Linked DNA regions of Caenorhabditis elegans. The protein of the gene in region 2 interacts with the protein of the main gene of each other region in a pairwise test. Each region holds a gene or a part of one and is shown on either strand. Other genes may lie near its edges. The genes, in order: dnj-10 and R07B7.2.

Region 1 (16,161 bases), on a different chromosome or scaffold from region 2:
CATCTCCAACTATTTCAACTCCTGCTACAAGTCCATCAAGTATTTCTCCTACTTTTGCATCTCCAAATGGAACACCAAATATTGCGTCAAGTATGTATCCTGCATGGGTGTTCAGCACAAGATATTCCGATCGACCATCTGCAGGTATGCGACTTTTCAGCAAAATTGATTGTGTATATTCTAGAAGGTCTCTGAGTAGACATACTTGAAAGTATACACTCCAGGAGTAACTCTCCTCTTATTCAAGACAAATTCAAAGCAATGTTCATTTCCTACAATGTTCAAATACAAACATGCGAACACTATTAAATTATAAAATCTGAAGAAAAAAACGTTTTTTTTTTGACAATTACCAAATTTATGAAAAAGTAACTCTATTAGAAATCATTCAAAAAATCACATCGGATATAAGTGTAATTTGATTTTTTTTTAAACTATATGCCATATTACAATATTTTCAGGCCCTCGACATCGAAAATCCCGAAAACGAGAATCAACTGGAAGTAGTGGAAGTTCAGAAGAAGAAAAAAGACCACGTACTGCATTCACTGGAGATCAATTGGACCGGCTCAAAACTGAATTCCGGGAAAGCAGGTAATCATGATTACATGTTTTTAACATTTTAATGTCCTAACTCGGCAAAGTTTTTATAAGGAGTAAAAATTATAGATTAGTCGTTTTTATAGTTCAAATTATATTTCCGATTACCAGCAACAACATTCAAAAAGTCAAAATTCCAGATATCTAACAGAAAAGCGGCGACAAGAATTGGCTCACGAGCTCGGACTCAACGAATCGCAGATCAAAATCTGGTTCCAGGTATGTCACTGTTCTCACTGTTTTCAACTTTTTGAGATAAGAAATGACACCCTTTGTTAACATATGTTCCCGACAAAAGAAATATTCACGGACCATTATGGTAATTGTGGGGGTGTTATAATGGAAGTGCGATTAGTATTAGATTACATACATGATAACAAGGAGTTGTAAAGATGTAGGTGAGAGGTCAATGACACTTTTTCTGAGAATCATAAAATATAATAAATCCTTTCATCTTGTATCACGAATTTGTTAGGTAGAACTCGGAAATGTGTACGGTTTTCAATGATAAATCCTGAAATGTTTTTCAAAATGTTGTGAAAAAATTTACTATTTCTTACTTAAGTTAGAAAGTAAGATTTATTTTCAATGAAAGTTGATTTACTAATAAACAATTAAAGGAAATTTTCATATTTATATTTCTATGAACAGCAATTTCATTAACAACTTTGGCGATTTTCAGCAAAATCCATGCAATCTTTGAAAAAAAAGTTGCTGTCTAAAATTCTCTAAAAATGGTTTAACCTCAGGAGATTCTATAGAAGGCAGCCGCGCCTGCCTACAGGCAGTTGTTTTGGCATGAACAAAATATTCTTGTTACCGAAAAGCTCTCCGTCATGAAAAATTGAGTTTTTTGAAATTTCAAACCTTCCTTTTCTCACTCCAGTTTAAAGAAATAGCAACACTATACGGTTTCCCTTTTATAAGATTGATGGGGTTAAACTGAAAGCGCGAAAAATTTGAAATTCGTGTGCGAAGAACATCGGAACTCTGTCAGTGTTTGTCTTTCTATCGTTCCGCCTGACATTTTGATTGATTATACTCCTTTTCTCTACAGTATCCCAATTAAAACTTGAACCTCTTTTGAAACGAAACTATAACCTTGAGAAGAGAGTTTTGAACGCGTACAAAACTCTTGGTTCCTAATTTTCCAGCAGATCTCACTGATTGATACTGTCGTCTCGAATTAGGAGAGTTGTTCGGTTCTTTTCGGGATATAATGACATGGTTTCGCATATGATTTATTAATAGGTTATGTACGGTACCATGACAAATTGGTAAGAACATGAAAGGAGCGCAATAGTTGCATAATGAAAGAGTCCTAGGTATCTGATAAGAAGATATGCGCCGAGAAAGGTATTGACTAATAGGCAGGTATGAATTTGATTGAGTGTAACAGTCTCTCTCAGGCACTTATATCTCCATGCAATTTGCATTTGAAACTTATTCATTAGTTTTTTTTTTTTACTTTTTGGCAGTTTCATTTAGTTCAGCAAATCTACAAAATGAGCAAGTGTGGCCATTTCTCTCAATATTTTCATTGAAATTTAGTGTTAGAATATAGAAAAATACCTATTTGTTTGATAATAACATTTATTCTAGTTGGGACAATGCTCAAAAAGTTGATAATTAAGGATCGATTTTATAATTTTAATTTCGTGGGGATTACTGTAGGTGATACTTTTAAACACACAGGGTGGTCTTGTCCGAAAAGGTAATTAGTCGTTTTTTTTTTATTGTCACACTTATTCACTCAAAAAACACGTTTCCCTTTTGTCTCCTGTCAATGAGTTTTTGTTTCAAGTCAAAAAACGGCACGCGACATACCGACACCTTGTATGGGGTAAGATAACCATCACATTTTATTAGGGGAGAGAGAAGAATTGAAATGACATGGGACAATTTGAAGACGAACATTTGAAATTTGAATATTCACTGAATAGATTTCAAATAGGACTTCCACGAAGGCATATGTATATTACCTCTGTGTACTTTTGCCATAACTTACGCGCGGTGGTATTGCCACGCGGAAAGCGGATAACAGTAACTCGTGTCGATCAACAATTGCAGCATATTATTCAATTTTAATATTAATGAAAATTTTAAAAATACGTGTAAACACTATCAGAGGCCCTTAGATTTTACAGTAATTCGTTGTCCGCGTAGCGAGACCTTGCGCGTAAGACATGGCGAAATTATCATCTTTAGAAGTCTATGTCATTGGAAAGTTGGTAAATTAAAACCACCCGAACTTCTAAAACTTCTTAAATTCCAAATAACAAATTTAAAAAAATATTAATTTCAGAACAAGCGTGCCAAACTCAAAAAGTCGACATCTTCTGTTCCAAGAGATCGATGCTCCTCCGTCACTCCAAATCCTCATAATCATCCGTCAATTCATGGAGGATATCAACTTATGGCTCAGTTGGCAAAGGTTCAGGCTCGAGCTTACATGCCATGAAATATTGATTTTTGTTAGGCGGTTACGGTAGGCCTTGTCTACCGTAATCCTAAAGTATCCCGGTAATAACTTTCTAGTTACTTTATCAAATTAGTGATATTCTCCTCTAGCCAACTAGTCTTCCTCCATTCATTTTTTTTCGTTTAACTTTTTCTCTCGACCAGATCTTATTTGAAATCGAAATACCTCAACATTCAGTTCTCCAAAAAAATCAAAATTTCCTCCACACACGTGTCTCCTCTTCAATGCTATATGAATTATCTCATGACTTTTCATTGTTTTTCTTTTTTGAATAAAGTTGATTTTCATTCAAACGATTCATGACAATATACACATGGATAACAAAAATTAGAAGGGGATGTATAGATTAATCACAGTTAGTAACAGTTAGAATTATATTCTTTTTAACCACTTTTCTTCCAAAATGAGTCGATTGTCACCATTTTCTTCGCTTTTGGTCTCTTCTCTTGAAGTTTTCGCTTTTTCGTAGAAGGTCTTTCTGGTTTCTGCGTTGATTTATTTTCCACAGAAACGCAAATTAACTCGGGTCCGTCATCGTTTTGCACTTTCAGAATACACTCATCGACGTGGCAGTTCATAACGTCTAAACGATTTTCGACATCAGTTCCACAAATGGGACAAGGACGAGTATCCATCATTATGACATCATCATCGTCGACGTTTTCCGATCCTTGTAGATTTTGAATTTGAAGTTTTTTCTCATTCCAAAACTCTGTGATCTGAAATAAAATGTCTCAAAAAAATAGAAGAAAACATTGCTTTATATTTATCAGTTATGGTTTTCAAAATTTTCTGACATACCGTTTTGCTTCTTTTTTTCTCATCTTCTTCAAATATCAATTGTGATAATCTGACTCCTAACAATCGAATTTCTTTTCCTTTTTCTTTTTCCAACAACTCCAGTGAGAACTTTTGAATATCTTCAAGTGACTTCACCACATCAGAAGGTGTCAACGATCTTGTGAGAACATCGAATGAAGATAATTTTAATTTTAGAGTTACAGTTTTTCCTCCGACAATTCCTGATTTACGAACATCTTCTTCAAGCATTCTACAGATTTCTTGATGCTCTTCTAGGAGGATGTTGAAATCCGAAGTTGGAGAAAAAGTTCTCTCAACTGAAATGCTTTTTCTTCGTGGATCCGATTCAGATGGACGACCTGGCAGTCCGAGAGCCGTTCGAAGGAAAGATTCTTGTGAGAGAGGCGTGAAACACAAAGGGTATAGGTTCTTCTTCAGATTCATATCACCAACAGTTTGAATATCCATTGCTTTCAGTTGAGCTTCGCATACACGACCAATTCCTCCAACCTAAAAAATTATCTAGGTAAAACTAGAAGGTTATGCTTTAATAGTCTCACCTTACGAATCGGTAAATCCTTCAAAAACTCCATAATCGCGTTTTTATCATTTTCTAACACATATTGACCATTTGGTTTGTTCAAATCAGAACAAATCTTAGCGAGCATAAAGTTAGATGCGATTCCAGCAGAACATGTTAATCCCGTGAGTTGTTCAACTCGAAATCGAATTTCTCGAACAGCCTCCTCTCGTCCAGTTCCGAACTCCACATGGTCGTAGTAGATTTTCCGCGATTTTTCGCATTTTGGACAGATCGATTCTTCGATTTTCAAGTCTTCCAAAGTATTTTCATTCTCGTCGAAACGGGGTAACCAACATGGACAATCTCCGCCGAATCTGTGACGCTTGAAGGTTTCTAGTAAGCAAATAGTTTTTTGTTAATAATCAAATCTAAATCACTAACTTTTTTCTGTATTACTTGCCACATAGTCTGTCAAATCTATAAATGCCTCATCCAATGACATCATTCCAACATCCGAATCGTATTCCATGAAAATTTGTGAAAATTGGCGACTGACTTTAGTGTATTTAGGGTAATTTCCTGGAACAATCGTTAGACTCGGACAAAGTTTATTTGAGATGAAGCCAGGCATTCCAGCACGGACTCCAAAACGGCGAGCCAAGTAGTTGGATGTGCTCTGAAAGAATAGATTTAAAGCTTTTCCGAAATCGAAAATTTACTTTTCAAATTGAGTTAGGTGCTTACCAGCATTGCCGATGAGCCTACGGCCATAGGAACTGTTCTCAGTGCAGGATTATCTCTCATTTCAACTGCGGCAAAATAAGCATCCATATCTATACAAACACAGTCTCTTGATAAATCTCTAGATGATTCCAGTTTCATCTCAAGATTCTCCATCTGAAAATTGGAAATTTGCTCTAAGTAAATTTATTAGCTTTTAAAATACATACCAGTATCTCAGATTTTTGTCTTTCTTCTCTGGTTGCTGTTTGCAAACGATTTTTGATTTCTAAAACTTTCTCTTCAATTCTTGATTGTTGTTTTTTGGAAAACGACGAGTAGGACGCTGATGTGTTTTCTTCGATGACTTTCGTGATTTTCTCCTTATCCAGTCCATTCATTCCAGCTTTATTATCGTTGAAAGTCAGCATTTTTCACGAAAAAGAGCCGGATTTTGAAATTCGCGGAGAAACTCCACTGATTGTGAGTGTGCAAATGCGCGTAATGGTGTACTTACGTACATCGGCAACACATTTGACGACATATCAGAAAGCGGCGCCAAATTAGAAGTTGAGTGCGCGAGAAAAAACTACGCGTTAACCGCCAATTTTCACTTCCCCACAGATCTGTCTCGAGATTCTCGAGTCATTTTTCAAGTTTATTTGTTTGTCAGCGGTTGTTTTATTGAAGATTTGTAAAATTTATAACAAAATGTGCAATAGTCTATTAAACCTCGTGAGATATTTGAAGAAACTTTCCCCGTTTTAAATATTTCGTGTATTCGTGGAGATCGCGGGAATGTTTTGCCTGTTTCCGTAAAATTCCTCTATTTCTTTTATTTTTGCTTGCAATTTTCGATTCATTTCAGAAGTTTCCACATTCGCAAAACGAATGGACGTCTCTTATTACGATGGTCCCAAGGATGAAGTCGCCGAAGCAATGCTGAAAAGCGCGGTGACGGCCATGAGATTGGGACAATACGAGGATGGAAAAGGACGCTTAGAGGAGATAATGGAGTTCGGAACCTCAAATTTTCAACTACTTGGTACAATCTACATGTATTACGGAAGAGTGTGCAGGCATTTGAACCATGATGCCAAGGCCTTGGAGTTTTTCGAACATGAGTTGAACATGTTCAAGTAAGTGAATCACAAAAATGAGCTGGACATTCTATAACCTTAATTTTTCAGATTGATCTTCAACTACCCAGAAGCATGTGATTCCACACGTCGCATCGTCGAGCAGGCACTCAAAATGGGAAAGTTCCCCAAGGCTCGACGGTTTGCTGAGGATCTCATTGATTACACCAGCAATAAGAAGAACGGAGAGAAGTATATCGGTCAAGCTCGAATTTTGTTCGCTTCCGTGTGCCTCGAAGGATGTGAAAGAGACGTCGAGAGTAATCAAGATGAGAAGAAGAAGCTTTTGTCAATATGTGCTGAACAGATTGCAGCCGTGAAATTGTTCAACGAGAATAATACGGAAGGAGCTGTGTCTGAGACCAAAATCATGTTACTTGAGGCGAAATGCTTGTCACTAGACGAAAAATACGAGGAATCGCGTCGCAAGTATCAAGAATGCATCGATTTTGCCATCAAAACAGACCAGTTTGAAGCAGTTCACATCGCCTATTACGACAAGGCTCTATATGCTGAGACAGATCTTCTTTTCTTTATTATCAGAGATCTCAGGTAATTTTTAGTTTTAACGATTAATAAAAATATCAATTCTTTATTCACAGAAGTGCTCTCTTCTACGCCACGAAATTCGGAAAAGAGCGAGATGTAGTCAAATATAAGTCGAAGCTATCCGAAGAGATGCTGAGAAATGGCGAATTCCACGAAGCATATCTCTACGGATTGGAAGCGCTTGTATCGATTCGGAAGCTTGGATTGAACGAATACATTGGAGATGTGTTGCTTACAATCGCAAAGTGCCTCATTGCACTTGGAAAAAGACGCCAAGCTGCTTATTTTATCATCTTGGGGAGTGTTCTGACCATCAACCAAAACAGTTTCAAACTGTTCTACGAGCAGATCGACGTGGCGATGAATCAAGAGAGAAGCGAAACGGCAACTGATCAAGATGTATGCCTCGCAATTGATTCGTCTCCTGATCCGACATCCTCGAATGACATGATTAATAAGTTCGTCGTCGAACTGGAGCACGCAACAAATGTGGAAACCTGGGAAATGATTGTCAACGGAATCATTGACGACCAGAAGAAACCAGTGGCGATCGAAAAGAAAGAGAACGAGGAACCCGTAGACATGATGGATCTCATTTTCAGTATGAGCTCACGTATGGATGATCAAAGAACTGAACTGCCTGCTGCCAGATTCATTCCGCGTAAGAAATGTTATAAATAAGCGTATAAGTATGCAAATTTATATTTTTCCAGCTCGTCCAGTGTCATCGGCATCGAAAAAGACTACAAAGAGTCACAGAATCCTCCCTGGACTCCGTGCCAATTGGACAAAAGTGCAGTCGATGAAGTTCGATGGTCACACAATGAATAGGATCCTGAAGAGGTCGAAGAAAAGCAAATCGTCATTGGATTCTACAAATTCGATGCAGGGCGATGATACTCGAAGCGATGATGTGACAATGACGTCCAAATAGGACCATTATTTTTTCTGTCAAATAATACAATCAAACTTTCTTTATTTATTTTTTTTTTACTTTCTTTCAGTAAATATTATTATCATTTTAGTGGTTCTTTTATTTTATTTGCTGGTCAGAAAAGCTGATTTTTTCAATTAGCGAAAATCCATCAAGTCATATTTCTATAGACTCTTTACTACATACGTTGATGACTTTCGTGATTTTCTCCTTATCCGGTTCATCCATTCCAGCTTTATTATTGTTGAAAGTAAATAAGCATTGTTTCCCGAAAAAGAGCCGGATTTTGAAATTCGCGGAGAAAAAGTTGAAAATTGAAAAATCCAAACGATGCTCCGATGTTCCGTCCGAAATGTGTGTTTTACCGTGACGGTGTTTGCAGACAGCTTGAAAAAACATTTATTTTTTTATTTTAATTTTATTAATTTATTATTTATTTTAGAATGTTCTATATTTTAAAATGTGAATTTGTTTCAGGGTACTCGGAATGTTTGTCTTAAACCGTTCAAGCGGGCTCATTCATCGATCTGTACCTTTATTAGCTCAAGTATCCACGCCTACGACTTCCACAACAAAATTAGGTTAATAATTCTCCATTTGGTGATAAACCAATTCTTTTCTGCTTTTTTAAAACATTATGTTACAGCTCAACTTCACACAACGCATGCACTAAGCAAAGAAGATTATTATAAGACTTTGGGTGTCGACAAAAAATCTGATGCAAAAGCAATCAAAAAGGCTTATTTCCAGGTAATATAAGTTTTTATCGAATACTTTGTAAGTATAAATACGTTATTTCAGCTTGCCAAGAAATACCATCCAGATGTAAACAAAACAAAAGAAGCGCAGACGAAATTTCAAGAGATTTCTGAAGCATATGAGGTATTTTCAACAAACAATAGAGCAGGCTCGAATCAAAAATATTAAGGTACTTTCCGATGACACAAAACGTCAAGAATATGATGCATACGGAAGCGGAGGTGGCCCAGCTGGTGGAAGAGGTGGTGCTGGAGGTTTCCACCACCATGGAAATGTTGATGTTAACGAAATTTTCAGAAGAGCATTTGGTGGAGGGGGTGGAATGGTGAGTTCTCCTTATGAATTCTTCTGAATATTATATTAATTATATAATTTTTATTGTAATTAATAAAAACTACAGTTTTATTTATTTTTTCGCTGATTCCAGGGTGGCTTTAATTTTGATAATTTTGCCCAAAGTGCTTTCGGACATTCTGCTGCTCAGGAAATGGTTATGGATATTTCGTTCGAAGAAGCTGTCCGAGGAGCCACCAAAAATGTTTCTGTAAACGTAGTTGAAGATTGTCTGAAATGTCACGGAACTCAAGTTGAACCAGGTCACAAAAAGACGTCGTGTCCGTATTGTAACGGAACTGGAGCAGTTTCTCAACGTCTTCAGGGTGGTTTCTTCTATCAAACAACTTGTAATCGATGCAGAGGAAGTGGACATTATAATAAGGTAGAGTTATTGATTTTTCTTTTATTGTAGCTTTTAATTTTTTCTTCAGAATCCTTGTCAAGAATGTGAAGGTGAAGGTCAAACCGTTCAACGACGTCAAGTATCATTCAATGTGCCAGCTGGAACTAATAATGGAGATAGTTTGAAGTTCCAAGTGGGGAAAAATCAATTATTTGTTCGTTTCAACGTTGCACCATCTTTGAAATTCCGACGTGAGAAAGATGATATTCACTGTGACGTAGATATTTCTCTGGCTCAAGCTGTTCTTGGTGGTACTGTAAAGGTTCCTGGAATTAATGGAGATACATATGTTCATATTCCGGCAGGAACTGGCAGTCACACTAAAATGAGGTAATAAATCTCCAAAAATTGGAACTTAAATATTCATTAAACAATTTTCAGATTAACAGGAAAAGGAGTAAAACGATTGCATTCTTACGGAAATGGAGATCAATATATGCATATTAAAGTAACGGTTCCGAAATATTTGACAGCCGAACAGAAACAAATTATGTTGGCTTGGGCTGCGACGGAACAGCTGAAAGATGGAACCATCAAAGGATTGGAGAAAAATCAGAAAACCGAGGAGAAGGAGACGAAGAAAAATGAGGAAAAGAAGTCTGAAGGTGAAAAAATATGATTTCAATTTGAAACAAAGGTTTTATCAAAAAGTTGTCTTTAAAAAATCGAGAAATTACCAAAAAAAATTCATTAATTTTTTTTTTTTAAACCGACATTATTGGTTGTAAAGATTCAAAAAGTTTGTAAAATTTTAAAGTTGTTTGAAAAATACCTGAAAGTCTTGTTTTTTTTTTTGCATTCTGATGCACTTGTAATCTCAATTTTTCCCCAAAACTGATTTTTGATTCTTTTCAATCCAAAATTACTAATTTATAGGTGCATCAGAATCACAAAAACGGAGAAGTGAGCCAGTAGCTGAGAATGCAGAAACTATTGACGAAAATCAAGAAAACGAGGGATTTTTCGAAAAAATTAAACGAAAAATTTTCGGGTAAATATATAAATTTCTAAACAAAAATTAAATATTTTTGTTTCATTTGTATTAATTGAAATTTTCCAGATAAGTCCGAGGAGAAGTCCGAGTCAAAAGAAGAGCCAAAAAACGAAGAATCTAGTGAAACCCCCGAGAAAAAAGCTGCAGAATCCTAATATTTGTCGCAATTTATCGATTACTGTCCCAATCTTTCCAGTTTTGTTCCCTTGAAATTTGTTTTGTCTCATTTGTAGTTCTATTAGAGTGATTATAGTGTCTTTTTTGTTACACTTGTTTTTTTTTTCTATTTTCAATTAAACCGAAACAAATTTATCAAATTTTATTCAGAAAGAGATAACACAACTAGCAATGATATGAAGAGTTTTATGGATGAAACTGGATTTTTTTAGAAAATGGTCTGTAACTTGGCTGAACATGAAAATATCAAAAACCTCAAAATTGATAAAATGTGGTAAAATGTTTTTCAGTTTTACTACACAACAAAGATTTTTTTATGAAATTAGATGGATGTTGAGTTATGACTGGTAGAACAGAAAAGTTTTCAAAAATTTTTGTGGATTTTGGTAAAATGGCTTTGACTCAATGTAACGCAACGAATAATTGGTATTTAAAAATGACAAAGATTTTAAAAGAAAGAAAAAACATTTCTGATCATTATGTCAGTTGAACATTTGTTTCCTAGGCATTCATGTTTCAAGATACGCCAGTTTGAAGATACGCAGTTTAGTGAGTTTAGGAAGTTATATTCTCATTACAAGCACAGGTACATGAGAAAACAGCAGTCAAAGAAGGGCGGTATTTTTTAATTTGGAATTATATTTTGCTCCTTATAATATTGGGAACACATCTGTGCTGCTAAATTATTGTTTTGTTAATTTAAACCGAAACAAATTAATCAAAATTTATTGTAAAATAAAAATACAACTAGCAAAATATTTTATAGGACAAAATATGAAAAACGGAATGTCGTGTGAAGATGGAATTGAAAAGATATGAAATCATTGTGATCTGTTCAGGCAAACTTTATAAAAAGCAAGGTTTTCGGGATAGTTTGAAAGAGCAGATCACCTGGATGTGAAAATACGGTGACATTTTTTTGGAAAAGGGAAAGAAAATGAAAAAAAATCGATAATTTATAGAAATTTTAGCCCGTTTTTAATTAGGGAAAGGGCGGTGAGTTAAGGATGTGAAATAATTGAAATTTCAAAATGGAAAAGTGGTTTTTTTTGCACAGAATTTTTCATTTTTCATCTTGAAGGTTATATTAAACACGCGATGACTGTATTTAGAACCCATTAAAATAATGGAGAAAAATGTCTCAAAACTGAAATACTGATTTGAGAAAACCATTTTCCCTATTTGAAAACTAAAAAAGATGACAAAATATAAAAATGGAAAATCTATTTGAATGCACGATTGAGAGAATATCTTGAATGACAAAATCTACAACTTTGCATATCAATTGCAGACGATGACGTGGAAATGGTAGCAGCATCGGCAGTTTGATCAATATATCGAATACATCGGATATCAGTTGGTATGAATGGTATGATGTGTTTGGAAACATAGAGATTCTCCACTATAAAAGCTTCTCGGGACATGTTACGAGCTCGCTTTTGCATTAAATTTGCGTAGAGTTCTGATACAAGGACTACCTGGAAATATTTCAATTTTCCGTTGATCAACATAAAAAAGCAAAAAAAAATGCTTTTCAAAAAAGGCAAAAGTTTTTTAAAAGTTTCAACTATATGCATATTTTTGACCACAAAACCAAAACAAAACAAACTCAATAATATAAGTAAAGAAAACATTATGGAAATCATTTTCTCGCAAGGTCTTGTAAAACTAAATCGCACTTGAAACTGACTATTTATATATATGAGAAAAATGAAGGAGTCCTCCAAAAATGATGCAACTCAAAAACGAAACATCAAAACGTATTTTTCAACATTTCGCATTTCGCATTAGAGACATTTCGCATAGAACGGATTTATGTGGAAATTTATGGACGTTTTCGTCCTTTTTAGATACATGAGCACATGTTCTCCTGTTTTATTTAGAGAGATGACTTGCTTTCAAAATTAAAAAAAAAAACTGCTTATACATACCTTTCCTCCTACAACCGCCAATGCAGATCTAGCGTCTTGAATTTTTCTTCCGAAATAATGAATCTTTCGAATATACTGTACTCCTACCAAATCAATGCACATTGTAGTTATTGCAAGACCTAAAAATATTTTGAATTTTTGTTTTTTTTTCATTGAAAATTTACCTAAAATGATATAGAGCAATATGATATACATGTATCCGTCCCTTCTGGGCATCAAGTCGCCAAACCCGACCTAAAAATATTAATTTCAAAGAGTTCAACAAACTGGAACAAATTACAGTAGTCATTGTAATGAAGGACCAGTAGAATGAAGTGAAGAAAGACCACGGCTCTAATTTTGACATTAGGACACCGCCAAACGCTGTATATACTATCAGAATAGCTAATACCAGGAATGCAGGAATTCTGGAAAGACAAAAATTGAGATGAGTGAATTAAGTTTTGAAAGGTAATTTTCAAAATCCATTAAAAATGTATTAAAAATATTTTACAGTTTTCCAACGACCAAAAAATCTGTCGAACATATACAAAAAACCAAAGCCAGCTTACAATGGAACCCCTAGTTTTTGTGATTGATCGATTGTTTCATAAATGTGTTTTATAACATTACGAACAAAAAACGCTTCTTGACTGGCAAAAACGTTTACCTTTTCTCCTCGATATTCATATCATGCCCCATTCCATGACTGTGACAGTGCTCACAAACGTGCTCTCTCCGTTCTTTTCGATGTCGTGACAATATGAGATATTTTAATTTCAAATAGTTTCCATACAACCAAACAAGATGTTCAGATAGGAATTTACCTGAAAATTATTAAAATTATAATACATTTTCTACATTTTCCCTTTAAAAACAAATTTTAGATGCGATTAGCTGATCGCAGTAGCTATCAGATGTAACTGATGTTTTTTTAAAAACTTCACGTACTACAGATTTTCTAGTAAAAGCATATAAGTGCCTGCCCACTTACCCAAGTCAGCGATGGTAACCAGTGTTAGAGGTATTCCAAGCAAGGAGAACAATATACACCATATCCGTCCAATGTTTGTCACTGGAACTGGATTACCGTATCCGATGGTAGTGACGACGGTTACGGCAAAGAAAATGGACGATGAAAATGTCCATGTCTCCGTTGCTGCGTTCTTTTTTACCTGAAAATAAATTAAATTATTTTTGAGGTATTTTGAGGTAGTATTATTGTATTAAAAGTTTGAATAATTTTGGTTGAATTTGGAATAGGTTGAAATCAAACTTTTCAAGTAAAAAACAAAGTTTCAATAGAAACAGTTTGAGAGAAATGATAAATAGCTGACCGGAAATGAGTACGAAAATCTACTTTTTAAACTTTGAGTATGCTCTGAAATATTTTCCTGTTATTTCCTTTTTCCATATTCTGGCTTTCAATTATCTTTAAAAAATTTTAAAGACACATCTTGGTTAAGTGTTTGGTGAAACTATAAATCTAAAACTATTTTTAAAGGAAAATCCTTGTCCCTTTGGATTAAAAAGAACAAGAATAATTTTGAAATGTTTAATTACAGACACAGACAATTGCTCAGTTAGCGCATAAAAAAATAAGCAGACAATGAACCAACAGAACAAAAAACTTGAAAGGGTCTCTCTATCTGACAAGTTAGAGTTTTGTCATCTCCCGCGGGAACAGCTGAGCTTTCTCCACTTGTTTTTGTCTAATCTCTCCACATTTTTCATGATCTATTGTTGTTTCTATCTTTTGATAGTCACAAGGGACCTCTTGTGTTTTCCGTTTCTATTTCACACCGCCAAACAGACTCAAAGAATGGAAGGTTTTGTGGAAAAATAGGAAAAAGATGAATTGGTGAGGATTATCAAGGATGGGGGAAAAGAGGTCGATAAGGAAATAGTTGGGTTAGAGAAGAACAAATAATAGTCCGGGTAGTTTGGATGGTTCAGATGTTACTTCTATATTGATAAATTATAAGTTGTGTCGATGCAAAATGTTAATTTAAATAGCCGATCGTAGTTTGAAGCAATCAGTTTACTGGTCAATTTCCGGCACATTTCGGCCAATTTTTGCCAAAATATTATATAAGTTTAGTTAGAAAGTTTTCAAAGCTGGAAATAAATTCGGCAAGACTTGGCCTAGATTTCCAAGTTTAGCTAAGCTTTGATTAAACTTCTGTCAATTTTTCATGAAAACTGTTCGTATTTTTTTATAGGGTCGAAATCGGGATGCCTGGAGTTGTGCCCGGATTGAGAAAAAAATTTGCAAATAGCCATCTCAATTACTCAATTACAAATTGCTTGCAATACATTTTCCGTACCTTCTGGTCGTCACATGCAATCTTTACAACAAAAAGTCCTGTCAAACTCACCTCGTTACTCGTCAAGAAATACTTCTCAAATGCGACAAACAGCTGATCGGACATATTGTGCATGTGCCGTTCGGCTAGTGACTCCCATTCGTATCGTTCTGCAGACAATTGTGTTCAGGAAATTTTGTGGATTTCCATTTTTTGCCAGTTTGGTCGAATTATGTGTTGTAGGTATTGTCAAACAAGTTTCGTAAATTTGGCAATGTGCCAAAACTTTCAAAAAAAAAAAACAACGCTTTTAAAGTGTTTTAAAATACTTGGTCAATCTGAATTAATATAATTGCATGTAAATCCCCACTACTGATATTAAAAAGTTATGCCAATCTAACTTACTTGTCTCATTTCCAGCAGCCAAACGAATTAAGTCGTCAACAAACTCATTTTGACGAGTGTAGATCAGTTTAAGCTGAAAACTATTATTATTTTGAAAATTTCATATAATATTTCGAAATATTCATAGAAAGAAAACAATTGTGTCCACAAAAATGCTGTTGTAAATATATAATTAGGTGCACTCATGTGCTGCCAGGTTGTTCTTTGTTGAAAAATTCGATTTCAGGATGCCATAAAGTAAATGGGAAAATATAATGGAATCTAACGCGACATTGTTTAAAATACTTTGGCCGCTTGTGACGCCACACTGTTAAGTTTTAAAAATATATAAATTGATCCAAAAAAATTGAAACTAACTATAAGCTTGACGAATAAAATCTAAGAGCCTAATATAAAAAAGAAGCTTTTTCTCATGCTAGGTACTAAAAAAGGCGCCCGAAAAGCACCTGGCCACCGCAGCCTTTTTTCCAGAAAATCGGAAGTCGTTCGCAAAGAAAATGGAAATGCTTGAGCCAACTGAGCCCATCTGCCACGTCAATGAAATAGGCAGATGGCTGAATCGAACGGAAAAGAAGAAGGATGTGACGAGTGAATGAATGGCTTTTTGCGTTGAAAAAGTACCACTTTTGGTAGAATAAGATGGGCGAGTGGGAGTGAAGGAGTAGAAATAATAGAAATTGAAAATTGGAAACTTTTTCATAATTTTAACTAGATTAATTTTAGATGTCAGAGATAAATCAAAATGTGCTTCAAAATAAAATAGTCTGAAATAGTCTTAATCCTTTTTATGCAAAATAAAAATTCGAACTTCCCCGAAATTCAAGTGGCATAATTGTTGCAATTTACACAGTAGTTTTGTGATTTTTGCGCCAAAAGACAAATTATTATCAAGTGTGAAAAAAGTGTGCGCCTTTGAAGAGTACTGTAGTTCTAAACTCTTGTTGCTGCAGGGTTTTTCAAAGTTTTTGTCATTTTTTTAATGTTTATCTTTATATTTTTAATTCATACATGTATTTTAAAAATATATTTTTAACAAAAACTGTGAAAAATCTAAATAGATTTCGCAGCAATGAGAGTTTGCAGTTACAGTTATTATATATCTTTAAAGGCACACACCTTTTTG
Region 2 (16,911 bases):
TTAAGTAATTTTCTGTCTTTAAAAGTTGAGTAACGAATAAATTTTTTCCTTTAACTGTATGCCTCCAAATATAGAAAAAGAAAAAATCACCATATAATCAGAAAATATACATATTTTCCTCATTTTCTCAAATTTTACAATGTTATCCTCCAATGTATTTCCAAAACTGAATGTTTTCAAAATGTACTCACAACACAGTTCACAGTTTCATATCGACACTTGGTTCTACTTTTTTTTGTTCTCTTGTAGTAGTTTTTCCTCTTTTTTGTATAACCAATACGAATCCCTCATTGTTAAAACTATATTGTTCAGATTGAAGATGATGAACCCTGTTAAGCATCGGTTCCGCTATATTGTCGTCTTTCTTGGTTTGGCATGTCTTACTTCAATTCTTTCAAATTATATTATTATTAATTTCACATTTATCTGTATGAAAGATGATCCTACTGGAATTGAAACTACTGAAAATGGGGTGGGTGAAATATTTAAATTATTGTTCATTTATGAAAATTAAGTTTTTCAGACAATTTACAACAGGTATGACTATTCAGTTGCTGAGAAAAGTGCAATAGTTTGGGCTGTGGCAATTGGTACAATACTTGGAACAGGTCCAATTAACTACTCCTATGTTAGATTTGGAGCTCGTATTCCGTTTTTTATTGCTGGAATTGTATCAGCTTTTGCAACAGTGCTAACTCCATATGGTGCATATCTTGGTTTACCGTATCTATTGGCACTAAGATTCGCTCAGGTAATGGTTGGCTCCAGAAGATAATTTCTAAGCCTTTTTTGAAAATGGGGCAACAACTTGAACTAAATTTTTTGAAAAATCTAAGCACTTCGGAGTGTTTAATTATGATGGTTGGTCATGCTGGACTATTGAAATTGAAGTTTTATAAAAATTTCATTAATTTTTTCAGGGTCTTGCTTATTCCGCCGACTTTGCAGCTATTGGAATTGTATGTGTCCGATGGGCTCCACTTGCTCAAACCGGACTCTTTATTTCAATTCTAACAAGTTTCAGCCCAGCAGCCACAGTGATGACAAATGCCGCATCTGGCTGGGTAACTGGACATGAAGATAATCTCTAGACTGTTTTGTTTCTTTCAGTTGTGTAAATCGTCATATGGATGGCAGTCTGCATTCTATGTTCACGCAGCTGCTGGTTTTATCATTTTTGCTGCATGGCTCTATTTTTATAATGATGATCCACAATTGAACCAAAAAGTGTCAGCAAAAGAGTTGACAACTATTCAAAAAGATAAAACAAAAGCACATATTGAGAGGGATTCGTTTGTTCCGTATTGGGAAATTTGCAAGAATCGAGTTATTTTGACTGTTTGGATCAACTCTTTCTTTGAAATGACTACTTTGATTCTTCTATTGACCTATTCTCCTATATATTTCCGTAAAGTCCTTGACTTTAGTGTTGTCGAAACTGGAATGTTGATATCCTTGTCGGCAGTAGCTCATATGCCAGCTAAACTCTTATCTGGATGGTTATCAGATCGTCAATTCCTTTCTGAACGTGTTCGAATGTGGTTCTTCAATACTTCATCAGTCGGACTTGCTGGATTCATGTGTGTCAGTTTGGCATATATTCCTGTCTCATGGAAGTATACAAGTGTTATTATGTTCAGTATTGTCTACACTTTGATGGGAACAAATTGTGGTGGATTTTATAAATGTGGAACATTTGCGTCACGGTAAGCTTTGATTTTGTTTCACCCCAACCGTACTCATACCATGATCGTAGTGATTTTTTGAATGACAAAAGTGGGTTTAATTTCAAAACTTAAAATTTTAACTGTACAAAAATTGTTTCCTTAACGTTTTCCTACATATTTGTAACTTTAGAATACTCTACCAAAATTAGGACAAATGATTTCGCGGTCGAAGTATTACGAGTTTTCTCTTCAACCGCATGTGGTGTCAGAGGGTCCCATATCGGCTTGATCTAGGTCTACGAAAATTTCGGTATTAAAAAGCAGACTTCTAAACTGATTCCGCATGATTAGAAGCGTGCTGACGTTTCAAGTAAATGAGCACGCTAGTAAATGAGGGTTTGCCCGTGAAATTTTATTGGAAAATGAATTCCCGCATTTTTTGTAGATCAATCCGTAATGAGACATCCTGTAATCACTGCAAATGGATGACAGAATCTTTAGAAAATGCCAAATAACTTTTATTTGAATATAATAAGGGTTGAAACCTGTGAAATTGCTTTGGATTTTTTCAAAAGCTCTTTTTTATTTTGGTAATTTTCCAAAACTAGGAAATTTGGTAATTCTGAGTATTTTGAGTGCATTCAGACAAAATCCTAAGTGGTGATACTCCAACTGTGTCCAAATCCAAAAATTTAAACACTGAAAATTATGAATTCACTGTAAATTATTCTGAAAACCATGCAATTATCCATAAACAAATTTCAGTCAATATGCTCACTTTGTGCTTGCGATGATTCAATTTATGAAATGTATTGCCTTATTTGCTGCTCCAGCAACAGTTGCCATATTTGTATCAGATGAATCATCTCATACTCAATGGGGTCATGTATATATTCTCAATGGTTTACTTATGTTTATTGCCAATATTTTATTCTTTCCAATGGCAACTGATAAACCACAATCATTCACATTTGTCACACGAGAGACGATTGAAGAAGAGAAAAAGAAACATCAATTTGCTTGATTAATTCGAAAAAAGAATTAAATATTACGGTTATGTATATAGATTAATGTCGAAATTAAATTTATATTCCGAACATTTCACCCAATAAACAATTGTTCTTCGTTCAATTTACTTTCTGATTTCTAATACAAACGCAGCACCAGTAACCCAACACTTCCCCCATTCCCACTCAATGTCCCTTGAAGACGCTGAAACTTACATTCAATAATTCCACTGAACACCTAGACTACTTTGGACGACAGAGCTTGAAAAAAACTTTATTATGAGAAAAAAACTTAAAAAAAACAAGAGAAACCATAGAAAATGGAGAAGGAACATTAGGTTTCCAGACATCTGGCAATAAAAAGGGAAACATTAATGAGATTTGAGAAATCGCGTTTTTAAATCGGTGAAACAATGGGCAACGAATGATGAACAAAAAACAATAAAGTTTACTATTACCTATTCAAAAATTAAATCTACTTTTTACTGGGAGCCTTATAGAAGTCTTTTGACCACCTTTTTGCACGACGAGTATCGCCTCCTTGTTCGGCGTTCCATTCCGCTTCGTAGCGCGCTGGAGCTGAAAAACGTAGTTAATTTATAAAGGTTATTTACATAAATTCGAAATCAATAATACCTTTTCTTGTCCTCTTTGATGAAGTAGGTTCTTTATCAATTGTAGAAGAAGGAGTTTTTGAATTTTTCTTGGTCGTCTCATTCCTTGAATTTTTGCGAGATGAGCCCGGTGGAGATTGTGATGGTTCGAGTCGTGCTCTTTTCATACCGGTGGAAATGGCAACAGAAGATCCATATCTTGAGCGCGAGGTATGTGGAGATGTGTCATCTGAAAAATAGAAATAAAATAATATAGAAATAACTTGGCGCATCAGGACTGAGCGACAAACGACGAATTCCGTTCGCCGAAAAAGCCAGATCCCACACATCCCTGGTGTACATTGTGTAACCTATATTTAAACAACTGGTGTTCGATCCTCACCGGTTTCAGATGCGCTTGGCATTGGAGACTCGTTTCTATTTTCAGTTATAGAAATCGCTGATATTATGGATCCGAAATCTTCCACTGGTGTCTCATTTCGCACATCTTGATTATTGATTTCCTCTGTTTCTCGAGCAATCGAATTGACTCCAGATACAGCTTGGTTGACGGATCCAACATCTGTTACTGTTATATTATGTTATGTTATGTTAGGTCGTAATTTATACTTTTATTACCGATGATCGCATCGACAGTATTCTCGATTTCAAGATCAGCCTCAAGCCTTTCGGTTTCTTCGGGAACGATTTGGTTTTCATTAACATTGACTTCTGGCTGAGAAATCGGCGCTGCAGAAGGGATATCGGCAAATGAAGGATTTACATTCGCCGAATTTTGATTTTGTGCATTTTGATACATCATTGCATGATTCCGTTGTTGCTCCCACGCCGCTGAAATTGTAACATATACCTTTACTATAAGTTGCAGAAATTGAGCGAACCGTATTGAGAGTGTAGAAGCATCTGCTGCTGCATAAAAACATCATATGGCGGCATGAACGGAGATTCAAAAAAAGAAGATGGAGCCGCGGAGTTATTCATATCTAAAACGTGTAATTTCTCATAAGTAGTTTAATTGACTATAATTAGAGGTAGTCAAAATTTATACTCACGAGATGGCATCATTCCTGGATGCCAACTCATCATGCCAGCCGCAGGTTGACCGAATGGGCGAATGAAATGATTATTTTGCCAATCGGGTCCCTGTCCTCCCGAGGAATTCGGCATTGATGGAAACATCCCTCCGACCCCTGAAAATTAATTAATTACTATCATTTACTAATATATATATATATATAAAGCGCTTATTCCGTTTGTCCATAGTTTGTAGTCTATGTAGTCTTTGTAGTCTGCGAAATTTTAGCTTCTGGAGGGATAGTGAGTTGAGGTTAGTGTAAGGATATAGTCGGGTTACTGTAGTGGTACAATAGTGATACGGTAGGAGTACTGCATGATTACGGTAGTTTCAGAAACATTAGTTTTTAGCTCCAAGAGGTCGGGAGCCGCGCCGGAGGTGCGGTCCACGGCTGGTCAATTCATAAAATTATTGAATTCACTGATTTCTGGTGGCAGTGGAAGACAAATTTTGAATTTCTTCATTGTCTGTTAGAATAAGTTTAGCCGAACACGAAACTGAACAGAGCCAAGTGCATTTTTAATATAAAATATTTCACCTCCAAACAAATTTCTAGCATTATGTGGTTGCTGAGCCCCTCGCATGTCTTCAGCCTGATTTCCTTCTTCTTGGGGAACAGGAAATTGGGACCGTTGTTGCTGTGAAGACATACTTCCGAGCAAGCCAGATGATGAACGAGCAAAATGCGAAGATCCATCATGTCGAGTTGGGAATGATGAGCATCGCTCTGAAGTTACTTTTTTAAACGAGAAGCAAAGTTGATGGTCTGACTTACGAGAATTGATCATTTCAGGGAAATGACTTTCCATTGTTTCTTGACTTGCTGGTGGATTAACCTGTGAATGAATTGACTGCATGCTGTTTGAGTTTGTTTCTGTAAATTACTACTCTCAAAATAATTGATTTATTTTATATTAGTAAGCTCTATTGCCAATTATACCTTCTCTCTGTTCCGTTTGATGAAGTCTCGAATGGAAAAACGATTGAGAATCGGCATCATTGAGACTGGTCTCATTAATTCCAATTTGTTGCGAAGCTTGTGGCATTTCAGTTTGTTCGAGATCCTCTTGACGAGCTTAAATTTAATTTTATGATGAGTATTAGAAATATTTTCAATATTTTGCGGACATATACAAGAGATGTTCCTATTTTCAATGTATGCACCTGAGCGTAGGACGAATTAAAATATGGGAAAAAGTTCGAATATTAAAGTGGGTTACCTTCAGAATTTTGCAACGGATGACTCGGCGGCACAGGCGCGGATTGCTGATCTGGTGGAGGAAGCAACTGGAGTTGTTCAGGTTGCTGGAGATAAATTGGAAATGCTGTCCGAGCTTTGATGGGCCGGCGAGCTTGAAGATGTTCCAAAAGTGAATTTGCCAATTTTTCGATTAAACAAGATTCTGAATTTGTACCGGCGATATTGGTTGCATGACAAGTTTGTGTTGTTCTGTTCGCCGTTGAACAAATGGCTTCCACCTCCTTATCCTTTGTTTGAACCTCGTATTGGCTTGAAGTTTCCACAGCCGTGATAATTTCTGATTGGACATATTGATCTCTTGTTGGAGCGTGATGTTGGCTCCAGGCATCAGCAACGTCGACTTCAGATTGTACTCCTTGATCTTTTGCGAACGTACTTTGATTTGCATAAATATCGGAAAGTGAGGAAAAAGGCACACGTGTTGATCCAAACAAGTTCCCAAAACTGCGACGTCGTCCAGTTTGTTCTGTGTTATCACCGTCAGAAGCACTCATCTGAAGCGTTATAATGATTATTAATTTATTAAAAATCAAATGAGGGTTTGTGAAATGGTTTCATACAAAATTCCAAACAAAAATGTTCCTAAAAACTAATTTAGAAAATAATTTTCGTTTGGCGAATTATTTACAACGGATATGACGCAACTCTGCGTACTTTTACCTCGGCTACAGTAACCCATTTCGTTTTTCAAAACATATTTAAATACACAAAAGTCCTGGTCTGTTTTCCTGCATTAGTTCGCATCATAATTTAGGTATTGTAGAGTTTACGAATGCGATCTTTGGCTCAATAATACCTAAATTTTGAAAAAAGTTTACTTTCAACCCTTTTTAAAAATTATATTGTGTTTCTGTACATCCTAATTACCGATGCTCCTTTATAAAATTATAATTGTCTATAAAATCATAATGGTATTATTTCACGCCTTCTAGAGAGTATAATTAATGAAATTAAATACCGGAAAACACATTAGACAAACGTACCGATTAAGATTTATCACAGAATAAAATTGTTAAGAAAGTGTCTATGACATGAACAGAAAATTTCAAAATAAGTTCACATTTTGCAACGTAGTGTTGCGATTTATTTTTTCAAACGAAATTTCAGTTTTTCAGTTTATTTCCCAAAAGAGACCAAACGACATCTTGCTAAACGCAAACATATTTTTTAAACTCTCTGTGCATTTCCATGACTTAAAAAACACGTTTTCAAAATGGCAATGGTAGAACATGAAAGAGAATAAGAACATTTAAGATTCAGAAATATAAAGTTCATCAACATGATACTCGCGGTTTCGGCGTCTTTCACGGAATCTGGCAACATCTTTTCTAGTAATCACACCACGAAGCTGAAAAACAATACTAAAAAATAAATTTGGATAATGTTCGTCCTCACATGATTATCATCGTTCACCACAAAAAGGTATCGAAGTCCAAGTCCACGGAAAAGTCGGAAAATGAATGGAAGAGATGTGTTCAGTGGAACACGGTGCGGATGAGGATGCATGTAGGGCTCAATGTCCAGGAAACATGACTCGTCGAAATTTGTTAATCCGAGTTCAGCAACAGATTTCATTTGGCTGAAAATAAAATATATAACAATTGAATTATAATATTTTCGTAGTATGTTGAATACCAAACAATTTCTGTTTTAAAATTCGTATTTTATTCAATATAAATCACTTACTCGTCGTCATCCTGGCATTCATAAAAATCATTTGGAAGTGCAGAGTTTGAAGCTCCTTCTTCCTCGAAAATTCGATTTTCCAGAAGTTTGAACAGTTGTGATCGCAGAATATAACCTTTCAGGCGTCCATAATCAGGGAGTGATTCGTATGGCGATTCTTCGATTCTATCTACTACTGGAAAGCCATGATGAAGTGTGGAACGAAGAATTTCAACGATTCTGGATACTCTTTCTCGCCGTTCTAGAGCCACAACATCTTTTCGCATCACGCGGCTGAAAATTAAAAAAAGATTTTCGAATTGTTACAACAAAAAAACCAACTCTGCCAAAATGTTTCTGCTCATCTTTGGTGGATTCCAACCAAGAATTGGAACTTCTGCTAAATCAATATGAGCATCATAAAGTCCTTCATTGAACATATCTCCAACCCATTTTGTTACCATCAACACCAACATAATAGGTAATCCAAATGTAATATCTTTAGTTGCTTCCATTATAATAGCTGTTAATGAAATTGTCATTCGAACAACGCCTCCGAGTTGTGCGGCAGCTCCTGCCAATGCGTATTTTCCTGGATCAATTCCAGTAACCGAAGGGAAAAGTCGTTCAACAAAAATTCCAAACAGGCGGCCCCATGCTGCACCAGTAAGAATAGCTGGAATGAAGACACCAGAAGGTACAGAGATTCCGAACGTCCAGAGAGTGAGCAAGAAATATTCAATTCCAAAAATAACAAGAGTTGTGACACCAAAAGAATCTGAAAATATTTGGATCTTAAATGTTTTTGAAAGATCAAACTTACTTATCGGACTATGAAACATACTCTTCACACTTTCTTCAGGATTTTGAAAAAATAAAGAAGCTACTGCAGAATATTCTCCTTTTTTGCACCACATTTGATTGATTTGTGTTGATGTTGCTGTAGGATTCGCTCCTATCGGCTGACAATCGTCAATTGCGAATATTGTGAGGAAAGCAAGAAATCCTGATACCGCGGCAACAAGAAGACATTCGAACAAACGACCCAGTTTGCTGCTCACATATTTTTTACGGAACTCGGTGAGTTTTGTATTTAAATAATTGAATAAAGCTCCAAGACAGCCTCCAATTATTCCAATGAGAAGAAACAAAGGAATTTCCCAAATATTATAATCCTTATTTTCGAAAACTCCGAAATTCGCGAGACCTGTCCATGAGAGCCATCCACTACGTCCATTGAACCAACTGAGAATCCAATTTACAGTGAATGAAGAGATCATTGCAGAGAAAAACATTCTCCATGTCAAAGCTTGATTCCAAAAGCTTGCTCCTTCTTCTAAAGAGAATAGAACTCCTCCGATTGGTGCTCCGAAAGCAGCAGCAACTCCAGCAGCAGCACCAGCAGAAACGAAATCTCTTTTTTCTCGATCATTTCTAAACTCGCGGAAAAGTCCGAAATCGATTCCAAGGGAATAACTTTTTCCCTGTGATATCCCAGCTCCTACAGCAGCTCCAGAATGGATCATAGGACCTTCTTTTCCAGCACAAAGACCACCGCCAACCGAACATGCAACTCCAACTGCTTTTGAAACGAGCGTTTTGAGACGAACAACCTGGAAAAAACGAAAGTTTCAGAAATTTTTGAGCTGGAAATGACACCTCAGGAATCGCAATTCCGTTAAGATAACACTTTATTTGAGGAATTCCAGAACCTCCAGCAATCGGAGCTACATAAATCACAAGGATTGCAGCTATAGTTACGAGAACACAATTATATCCTATCCAAGCTATCATTACGGTCCACATACACCCTGCAGTCGTTCCACGTTGCTCTTCGCCACACTTTGAGAGCACTGAATGTTTCGTTTTCAATAGATTAGTTAGATAAGTATAACTGACAATATTTGAGAATCCAGTTAAATTTGATATCTTTACTGTAGTGTACCATAATATCAATAAATGCAGCGACGAGTCCAGTGAAAACTCCAATCAAAAAGCATACAAACCAACGATTTCGAGAAATTCGCCAAAGAGTTAACTGAAAAGTGACATTGTTACTGTATCTATGAAATCTCAAAACCTGGTGAGATGGTTTCTTTTCAGCATCTCTATAGAGTCGATTCTCAGATATTTCATAGTTCAGACTTTCGTATCTAGCAGACAATGCTTCATGGCTATCCGTTCGACCAACATCATCCAATTGCCTTGAGAATAACAGCTCTTCCTCCTGAAATAACTTGATTTTCAGAAAAAATTGCTGGTTTTTGCCCGCACTAGTCGTCTTCTTTGCCGAGCAACGTGTTCTAGATTCGAGTTTGACATGACTCGTTCTAGCCCCGACACAGGATCTTCATTTGGATCCAGACTGAAAAATATTATTTCCGAGAAGTCAAGTGATATTTAGTCTCTTACCTATTAGAACTTGTTCGCACCCTGTTACGGGATGTCATCTGAAATGTTGAAATAAATCCAACTGAACTTATTGTAGACATAAGAGAAGTAACTAATTTCGATAGACACGCAACATGTTTATTGTTGGATGTGAATAGAATGAGTATGGCGGAGTATTTTATTAAACATGGTGTTTATGGAAGAAGGAATTATAAATTTATAAAATGAAGCAAGGTGTGTAGACAACTACGCAGCTTCTGAGTATCCTTGATTGTGTACGAGTTGATGAAATTAGAAGGCACGGAATCCACGACCACGAGAGTTGACAACCTGATCAGTGACGTATTGGACTGGACGATATTGAACTGGCTGAACCTGAAAAACCAATATATTGGTCACCACAGATTCCTAAGATTTATGTTTCATAATATTAATCCAATTGGTGGCTAGTATTGTAAAACTCAATCATAATCTTTAATTCAATTCTAGCAAATAAAAGTTTGAATACTCACTTGACGAACAACATTGTTTCTCTGAACAGGTGGTCTTGCATTCACATATCTGACGCTTCTCACAACTTGCTGTTGTTGTGGCTGCTGCTGTCTCTGGAAGCGCGGGGGTTGTTGCTGGAAACGAGGTTGCTGTTGCTGGAAGCGTTGTGGCTGGCGTTGGAAACGTTGCTGAGCCACTGGAGTCTGGATTACTCTTTGCACGACCTGCTCATACTGAAAACGAACAATATAATTCTGACACTGGATACTGAATAATAATGAATTTTTACCTGTGGTCTTTGAACTTGAGCGCGTCTTGGAACTTGTTGAACGACTTGACGACGAATGACTGTTGGACGATTATTATTGTTGTTGTTTGTTGGACGGAATCTTCTCGATTGCTGTGATTGAATAATCACATTGCGTCTCTGCTGTGGACGGTTCTGACGAACTTGTTGTTGCGGTGCTCTACGAATCACTTGAGATTGCACAGGAGCAGTGATGATTTGGCGAACAACTTTGACTGGAGCTTGACGAACATGCTGTACGATAGTACGAACAGGAGCCGTTATTGGTCTCTGTTGGATGATTGTTCTCACAGGTTGAATCACTTGGGCAGCAGTGACATTTCGTTTCAATGCAAAATTTCGTCTGGCGGCAAGAGTTGAAGCAGCAACACCCTGAAATCATTTACCTTACCTCCGTGAAAGATTGGAAGAACTCTCGACACGCTGAAGAAGCTGAGGAGAAGTTGCTGTCTGTCTCTCCGGAAGGAACTTCACACAAATTGAGACCATCTGTTCTGATTTTTTGGCAGAAGCCTGGCTTTCTATCAGGTTTTCAATAGTGGATGATCGTATTTCCAACTATTCATCGCGGTTTCAAAAAACACGAAGAACGTCTAGGTTCTATCGCGACACGAGAGGAATAAATCAAACTCTCGACCTGATTTTTAGCCTTTTACTACAACGCTTAATGCGTGTGGTATCCAGATTTCACTTCAAGAATCCATTTTTCAAAGCTCGATATTCAACTATAGAACAAAATCTGGTAAAAACGTACTCCACGCTTACGAACGACTGGAACAGTCGTGATATTGGTTCTTTTGCGAAGGGCATTCTGTAATGTGATGGTTTATTAGAATGAATTATATAAACAAGATTTACCTTGACGAGCTTATTAACCAGCTTCTTGGTGGCAACAGCGCTCAATCCTGCAGCCGCAGCAGGTTTTCCACGGGCACCGAAAACGCGTTTTTGACCTCCAGCTGCACGACGAGCAGCAATTGCTTTCGATTTCTTCAAAACCTTGTTCGCCAAAACAACTTGAGCACTCTTTCTTGGTGGGACTCTGCGGTTGTTTCTTCCGGCATTTCCTGGGCGAGTCTATAAAAATTATTTATTCTTAAAAGTTGCTTATTTTATTTTAAAACTCACGGGTTTGTTTCCAGCTTTGTTGCTAGTAGATGCTCCTGCTGGTGCAGATACTCGCTCGGACTTCACTTTTTTCTGGCCATGCTTGATGATTTCATCCAGAGACATGTTGATTTTTTCAGCCATTTCGATGAACGATATGAAGAATGCGGATAAAACTGAAAATAAACTGTTTTTAGAAAGAAAAGAACAGACAATGAAAAATATAAGACGATATGAGTGTAACAAGATGGTGAATAGAATGAACGAAAATGTGAGAGAGAGAGTGAGGGGGAAAGAGAGTGAGAGAAGAAGAGCAGATGGGAAAGTCGCGTGGCAGAGTACGAACGGCAATTGCGGTTGCGGAGCGGTTATCGATTGATGACTCACAGCGTAGAAGAGCAATTATAACAAAACCAAATTATTCAGTGTTTGGCCTATACGTTGAAAAAAACAAATTCCCGTTTTAAATGCTGTTTCTTTTTTGAAAATAATAAAACTGATGATCGGTGAGCAAACAGATATTACTGCATAGCAGCAGAACCGACCGGTCTGAGTGTGCACTAGACAGCTGTTAATGTTTGCACTGATGTAAAAAAAATTAAAAAAAAAATCGATTTCGGTGGGCAAGGTGGAACATTCAAGTGGGTTTCATAGTGAGCAACGAGAGAATACATAGTTCGTATTGGGGAATTTCATAAATTTAAGGAAAAAACGGATTTTAATTCAATAAATGTCTGAAAAACAGTATTTATAAATATATTTATTCAGCAAAGAAAATCGTTTTTAAAATATCGGTACTTGTTTTTAAATCACGAGACTTCTTGGACGCAAACACCAGAAACGACGGCACATTGCAGACAGTATGCTTGAAGATTTCCTCTACAGTATCCGAGTACTGTAGAGTATATCTTGGTGTCAATTCGCCCATAAAACTGCCAACACACAATACCAAAAGAGGCTAATGACAGAAATTATGAAAACAATGAAAACGTTTGTGAATAAGGATGTGCACTTCTCGACGATCTGTGCTTTTCTGGCAATTTCAGAGTATTTCTCCCGAGAGAAGGCTGCCAATGTGAACGATGATGGGAAAATGAAGCATAACAATAGTTTTATGTGTGCACGTATTTCTCGAATCCATCCCAGGCTGCCATGGACGGAACTCGTGAGCTGTAACAAAAATTATCAAGTAACATGAAATCTCGCTATAGTAAAAGTATTATGTTTCAGAACTGTGTATTTATGTTTTCGTAGAATTTTGACACTTATCAATATAGAATCAAGAATCTTACTTACAAGATGAGCACCCGAAGAAATATAAAATGTAGAAATCTAACCGTTAAATTGACATCCCATTCCATTTGATTAATGATATTCGTCTCATTTGTTCTAACTTTTGAATACTCTTTGATAACATCTTCCAATTCATCTTCCTCATATTGATCCATAATTTCCTGCAACACAAGGCAATCCTCAAATCCACAATTGACACCTTGACCATTGAATGGAACCATTGCATGTGCTGCATCGCCCATCAATACCAATTTGTCGAAGAAGACGTGCTGTGAGCATTGAACACTTATAATTGCCTGCGGTTTGTTTCTGGCAATTGTGTTTCTGATGTGATCTCTAGAATAATATTCGTTCGAAAACAACAAGGAAAAATGAAGCCACTCACTCTCCAAGAATCTTGAAGATTTCATAAAAATTGTTCTTAAAAAACAAAACAGATTCTACGGGACCAACCAAATTAGACTCGAACTCTGAGAACGTGGCGAACATCGAAACTGAAAATTTTGACTTTAGATAGATATAATTCCAATATAAGTCTTACCAGTCAATGACTGATCTTTATTTACAATGGCAACAAGGATAATACCTCTTCTTCTCCAGGAATAATGTGTTCCCAATTTTAGATCACATTGTTGTGTAGAATTTACACTCAGATCAATATAACCGAATTCCGAATACTTTTGACTGAAATTGAAACCTGGAGCCTTGAGAAGGCTTCTTCTAATTGAAGAGTGTGCTCCATCACAAGCCAGAAACAGATCACCATCTACAGTACTCAAATTATCCGAATTCTGTACAATCAGAGATTCACTTTTCAAGTCAAATTTGGTTGCTTTACAATTGAAATGAAATCTGTAATTGTAAAATCTGTTTGCTTAATTAATTGTGATGTTGAACTCACTTAACATTATTATATTTTTCCGCTTCGTTGATCAATATTTGGCTCAGTTCTTGACGATTTATTGTGAGAATGAACTAAAATAGTTTAAATTAATTGTTTTCGATAAAAAATTCTCTATTAGCTCATTGACACTGTGCATTACATTTTGACACCTCATATTTCGGTTAATTTTCAGATATTACAAAATAAAAACGACGAAAATTCATAAATATAAGTTAAGCAATGATGTGTACTCTTGAACTTCTACTTACATCGTCATCATTGAGAACAGGTAGTCTCTTCAGTTTTCCTTTTGTGTCCCCAAAATGAGCAATTTGATCTCGAATTGGCACACCAATATGAATAACTTTTTCCTTCAGACCAATTCTCTTCATTGTACTCATTGCACGAACGCCTAATGCCAAATTAATACTTTTTCCATTTTCCATATGGTTTCCACGTGGATCAAAACGCGACTCGTAGACATCCACAATCCATCCCTTCTGTCCAAAAAAACACGCATTCGCAGATCCAACAAGACCTCCACCAGCTATCACAACTGACGGCATTGTTCAGAAATGAATTATTTAGGAAGAAAAACAAGTAAATTAAATAAATCTTCAGCGTGTCAAATACGTGATTGAATTGTTTTACTTTCTGTAGTCCTTGGTCGACCCCCCAAATATACCATTCTAGTTGTGACGGGGGTTCCGCTCAGGGGTGTGCGGCAAACTTGCCGAATTTGCCGAATTTGCCGAGCACGGCAAATTTCAAAAAAGTAGATTTGCCGAATTGGCCGAGCTCGGCAAATTTCGAAATTTGCCGCACACGTCAAAAATTTTACAGTACAATTTTGATTGATTTTTTCGCCAAAAATTTAGTAAAATGACACAAAATTGAGTTAGTTTTATGCTCAACTAGACATACTACACGGAACTAATTCAGAAACCAGATGTGTGTTACGAATTCGGTAGTTTTGGTGTTCCAAAAAACATCAAAAATTATCAAAATTTTCCGAGTTTGTTAAGCACGGCAAATTTGCCGAATTTGCCGTGCTCGGCAAATATTGAAAAAAGAGAGATGCCGAATTTGCCGAGCTCGGCAAATTTTGAGATTTGCCGCACACCCCTGGTTCCGCTATTGCCACTATGGGACTAGAATAACTCTCATTTACCATCACCTTTTACACAGCGACGGGGAGGCCAAAAGAGCAAGTGGGAAGAATGTAGGTCACAATATAACGACAGACAGGCCGCATAGATGAAACTATAGATAAACAATCATCTGTGCATAGAACCAAACAGCAGTAATGATAATGTAAAGTCGGGAAAAAACTCTTGTAAAAATTTATCATCAGATTTTTTTGAACTTTCTAAAAAACACGCATCATTAAACAATAAAAGCTATAAACCAAGTTTTCCTCTATTCACATAAATACCAGCAGCAGCCCCAATCAAAGCTAATGTAGATGTAGTTGTCATTATTCTTGACAGAATCTTATCTTGCCTTTTTCTTCTTTCAATTACTTCCGAGTATGGAATTCGTGAGAAAGTAACCATAGAGTACAATGGAATCCAGCTTTTTGGAAATATTGAGTTCATGATTGTATCAAACTTTTTACGAAGTTTGTAGGAGCTTTTATTCACAAGATCCTTGAGTTCTTCGTAGTTGTACATTGCAAGATCATTAATGGAATGAGCATCGTTGACTCGACCGTCTGAGTAGACTTTGACTGCTTTGGCTAAAAGTTGAATTACAATTCGCAATTGAATGTTTGTGACTTACCAATATCATTTCCGTACTCCTCGAGTGTTTCACTAAACACAAGACAATCCTCAAAGCCCTAAACTGTTACAAAATAATTTTCAACAATTTTCATTAATTTATGAAAACGAACACAATTCATTCCCTGTCCGTAAAAAGGAACCATTGCATGAGCAGCATCTCCCATTAGAACGAGATTATCGAAGAATGAATGAGGTGAACATTTGATTGAAACAAGAGGTTGTGGTTTTACTCGATTAAATGTATCTGCTATGTGTTCCCTAAATTTGAAAAAAAGTTTTTAATGTGAATGTTCAACTCTTAATCTTACTTTCCAAGTAATAAAAATGCATCTGGGAAGTTTTCTTCAAAGAATGAAAGTACATCTTCTGATGTCGACATATGTTTCTCAAATTCCGAGAAAGGCGCAAATATTGTTACTGTAAATGATACGGATTATCAAATAAAACAAATTAGTTTTGCAACAAACCAGTAAAAGTTTTATCCCTATTAGCCAATGCAATCAAAGTGAAATGACCTCGTGGCCACAAATGGAAGACATTCTCTTCGAAGGCAAATTCATTGTTATTTGCCATTATATTTAACTCTACATATCCATGTTCAATGTATTCTTGGGAAAAGTCAAATCTGTAAAATAATATTTTTTGAAAATTTGGAAAAAATACATACCTCGGAATGGTCATAAGACTTCTTCGAACAGCAGAATAAGCTCCATCACATGCAAGAATGAGGTCAGCTTCCACGTGGAACTCAGCATGCTCTTGTCTGAAAATAATTTTAAATTTTTTATAAAAGCAGCAAGTTATTCCATATTGACTTACGGTGGGGATTTATTACCAAAAGTAGGTATCTTCGACGGTTGAGATGTACATTGTACTACTAGCTGCTTCTTATCATAGTCAACATTTTTCACTTTGTGCTCAAAGAAAAATTTGACGTTTGGAGACTTTTCTGCTTGAGTAATCATCACTTCATTTAAATGCCGACGATTGATGGATACAATATGCTAAAATTCCATACATTTATATATTTCCATATTTAATATTTCAAACCTCTCCTGGTTTTCCATATGGTTGCCTGCTGTACGTTTTCCCATCTTTATTATGTATAAGTCTTGCATACAATGGAACTCCTTGATTTACAATATATTCTTTCAATCCAACTGCTTCAAGTGCAGATTTTCCTCTTTGACTCAATGCCAAATTAATACTACGTCCCTGGACATGTTTCATTGTTCGAATATCTTTACGGAACTCGTACACAGACACATCCCATCCTTTTTGAGCAAAGAAACACGCATTTAGTGCTCCGACAAGACCGGCACCCGCGATTGCGACGGATGGCATCTTAAAAAAGTAATTTGTTTT

What was found.
Region 1: the proteins of R07B7.2 (region 2) and dnj-10 interact in a two-hybrid assay, tested with the Caenorhabditis elegans proteins (one large-scale study listed by BioGRID).

Annotation. Positions count from the first base shown.
Region 1 is NC_003281.10:8,622,940-8,639,100, forward strand, and holds dnj-10 (DnaJ homolog dnj-10), read left to right. Parts: upstream 1-8,225; 5' UTR 8,226-8,235; coding exon 8,236-8,329; intron 8,330-8,394; coding exon 8,395-8,498; intron 8,499-8,549; coding exon 8,550-8,630; intron 8,631-8,676; coding exon 8,677-8,832; intron 8,833-8,934; coding exon 8,935-9,225; intron 9,226-9,274; coding exon 9,275-9,576; intron 9,577-9,627; coding exon 9,628-9,851; intron 9,852-10,122; coding exon 10,123-10,237; intron 10,238-10,306; coding exon 10,307-10,310; coding exon of another isoform or gene 10,311-10,395; 3' UTR 10,396-10,626; downstream 10,627-16,161. Other genes in the region: Homeobox protein engrailed-like ceh-16, read left to right, coding at 1-144, 462-594, 741-819, 2,906-3,061; polk-1 (DNA polymerase kappa), read right to left, coding at 3,466-3,801, 3,884-4,393, 4,444-4,799, 4,848-5,082, 5,151-5,303, 5,357-5,557; gpr-1 (G-protein regulator 1), read left to right, coding at 6,018-6,265, 6,317-6,817, 6,868-7,475, 7,528-7,748; twk-7 (TWiK family of potassium channels protein 7), read right to left, coding at 11,641-11,895, 12,349-12,467, 12,513-12,582, 12,629-12,755, 12,998-13,154, 13,322-13,502, 14,706-14,803, 15,039-15,111.
Region 2 is NC_003283.11:12,053,630-12,070,540, forward strand, and holds R07B7.2 (PUM-HD domain-containing protein), read right to left. Parts: upstream 6,121-16,911; 5' UTR 6,119-6,120; coding exon 5,584-6,118; intron 5,439-5,583; coding exon 5,304-5,438; intron 5,238-5,303; coding exon 5,139-5,237; intron 5,091-5,138; coding exon 4,902-5,090; intron 4,479-4,901; coding exon 4,341-4,478; intron 4,272-4,340; coding exon 4,170-4,271; intron 4,120-4,169; coding exon 3,898-4,119; intron 3,857-3,897; coding exon 3,671-3,856; intron 3,518-3,670; coding exon 3,311-3,517; intron 3,254-3,310; coding exon 3,150-3,253; 3' UTR 2,933-3,149; downstream 1-2,932. Other genes in the region: F10C2.7 (Major facilitator superfamily (MFS) profile domain-containing protein), read left to right, coding at 323-472, 524-751, 921-1,064, 1,111-1,706, 2,433-2,691; clh-6 (Chloride channel protein), read right to left, coding at 6,874-6,972, 7,020-7,203, 7,311-7,583, 7,632-8,067, 8,113-8,902, 8,949-9,142, 9,189-9,327, 9,370-9,516 and 2 more; pqn-53 (Prion-like-(Q/N-rich)-domain-bearing protein), read right to left, coding at 9,972-10,055, 10,193-10,405, 10,462-10,851, 11,234-11,290, 11,338-11,556, 11,608-11,730; kmo-2 (FAD-binding domain-containing protein), read right to left, coding at 12,502-12,756, 12,924-13,215, 13,265-13,373, 13,421-13,731, 13,781-13,854, 14,032-14,328; kmo-1 (Kynurenine 3-monooxygenase), read right to left, coding at 15,163-15,500, 15,545-15,602, 15,657-15,804, 15,855-15,963, 16,014-16,171, 16,214-16,309, 16,366-16,550, 16,597-16,890.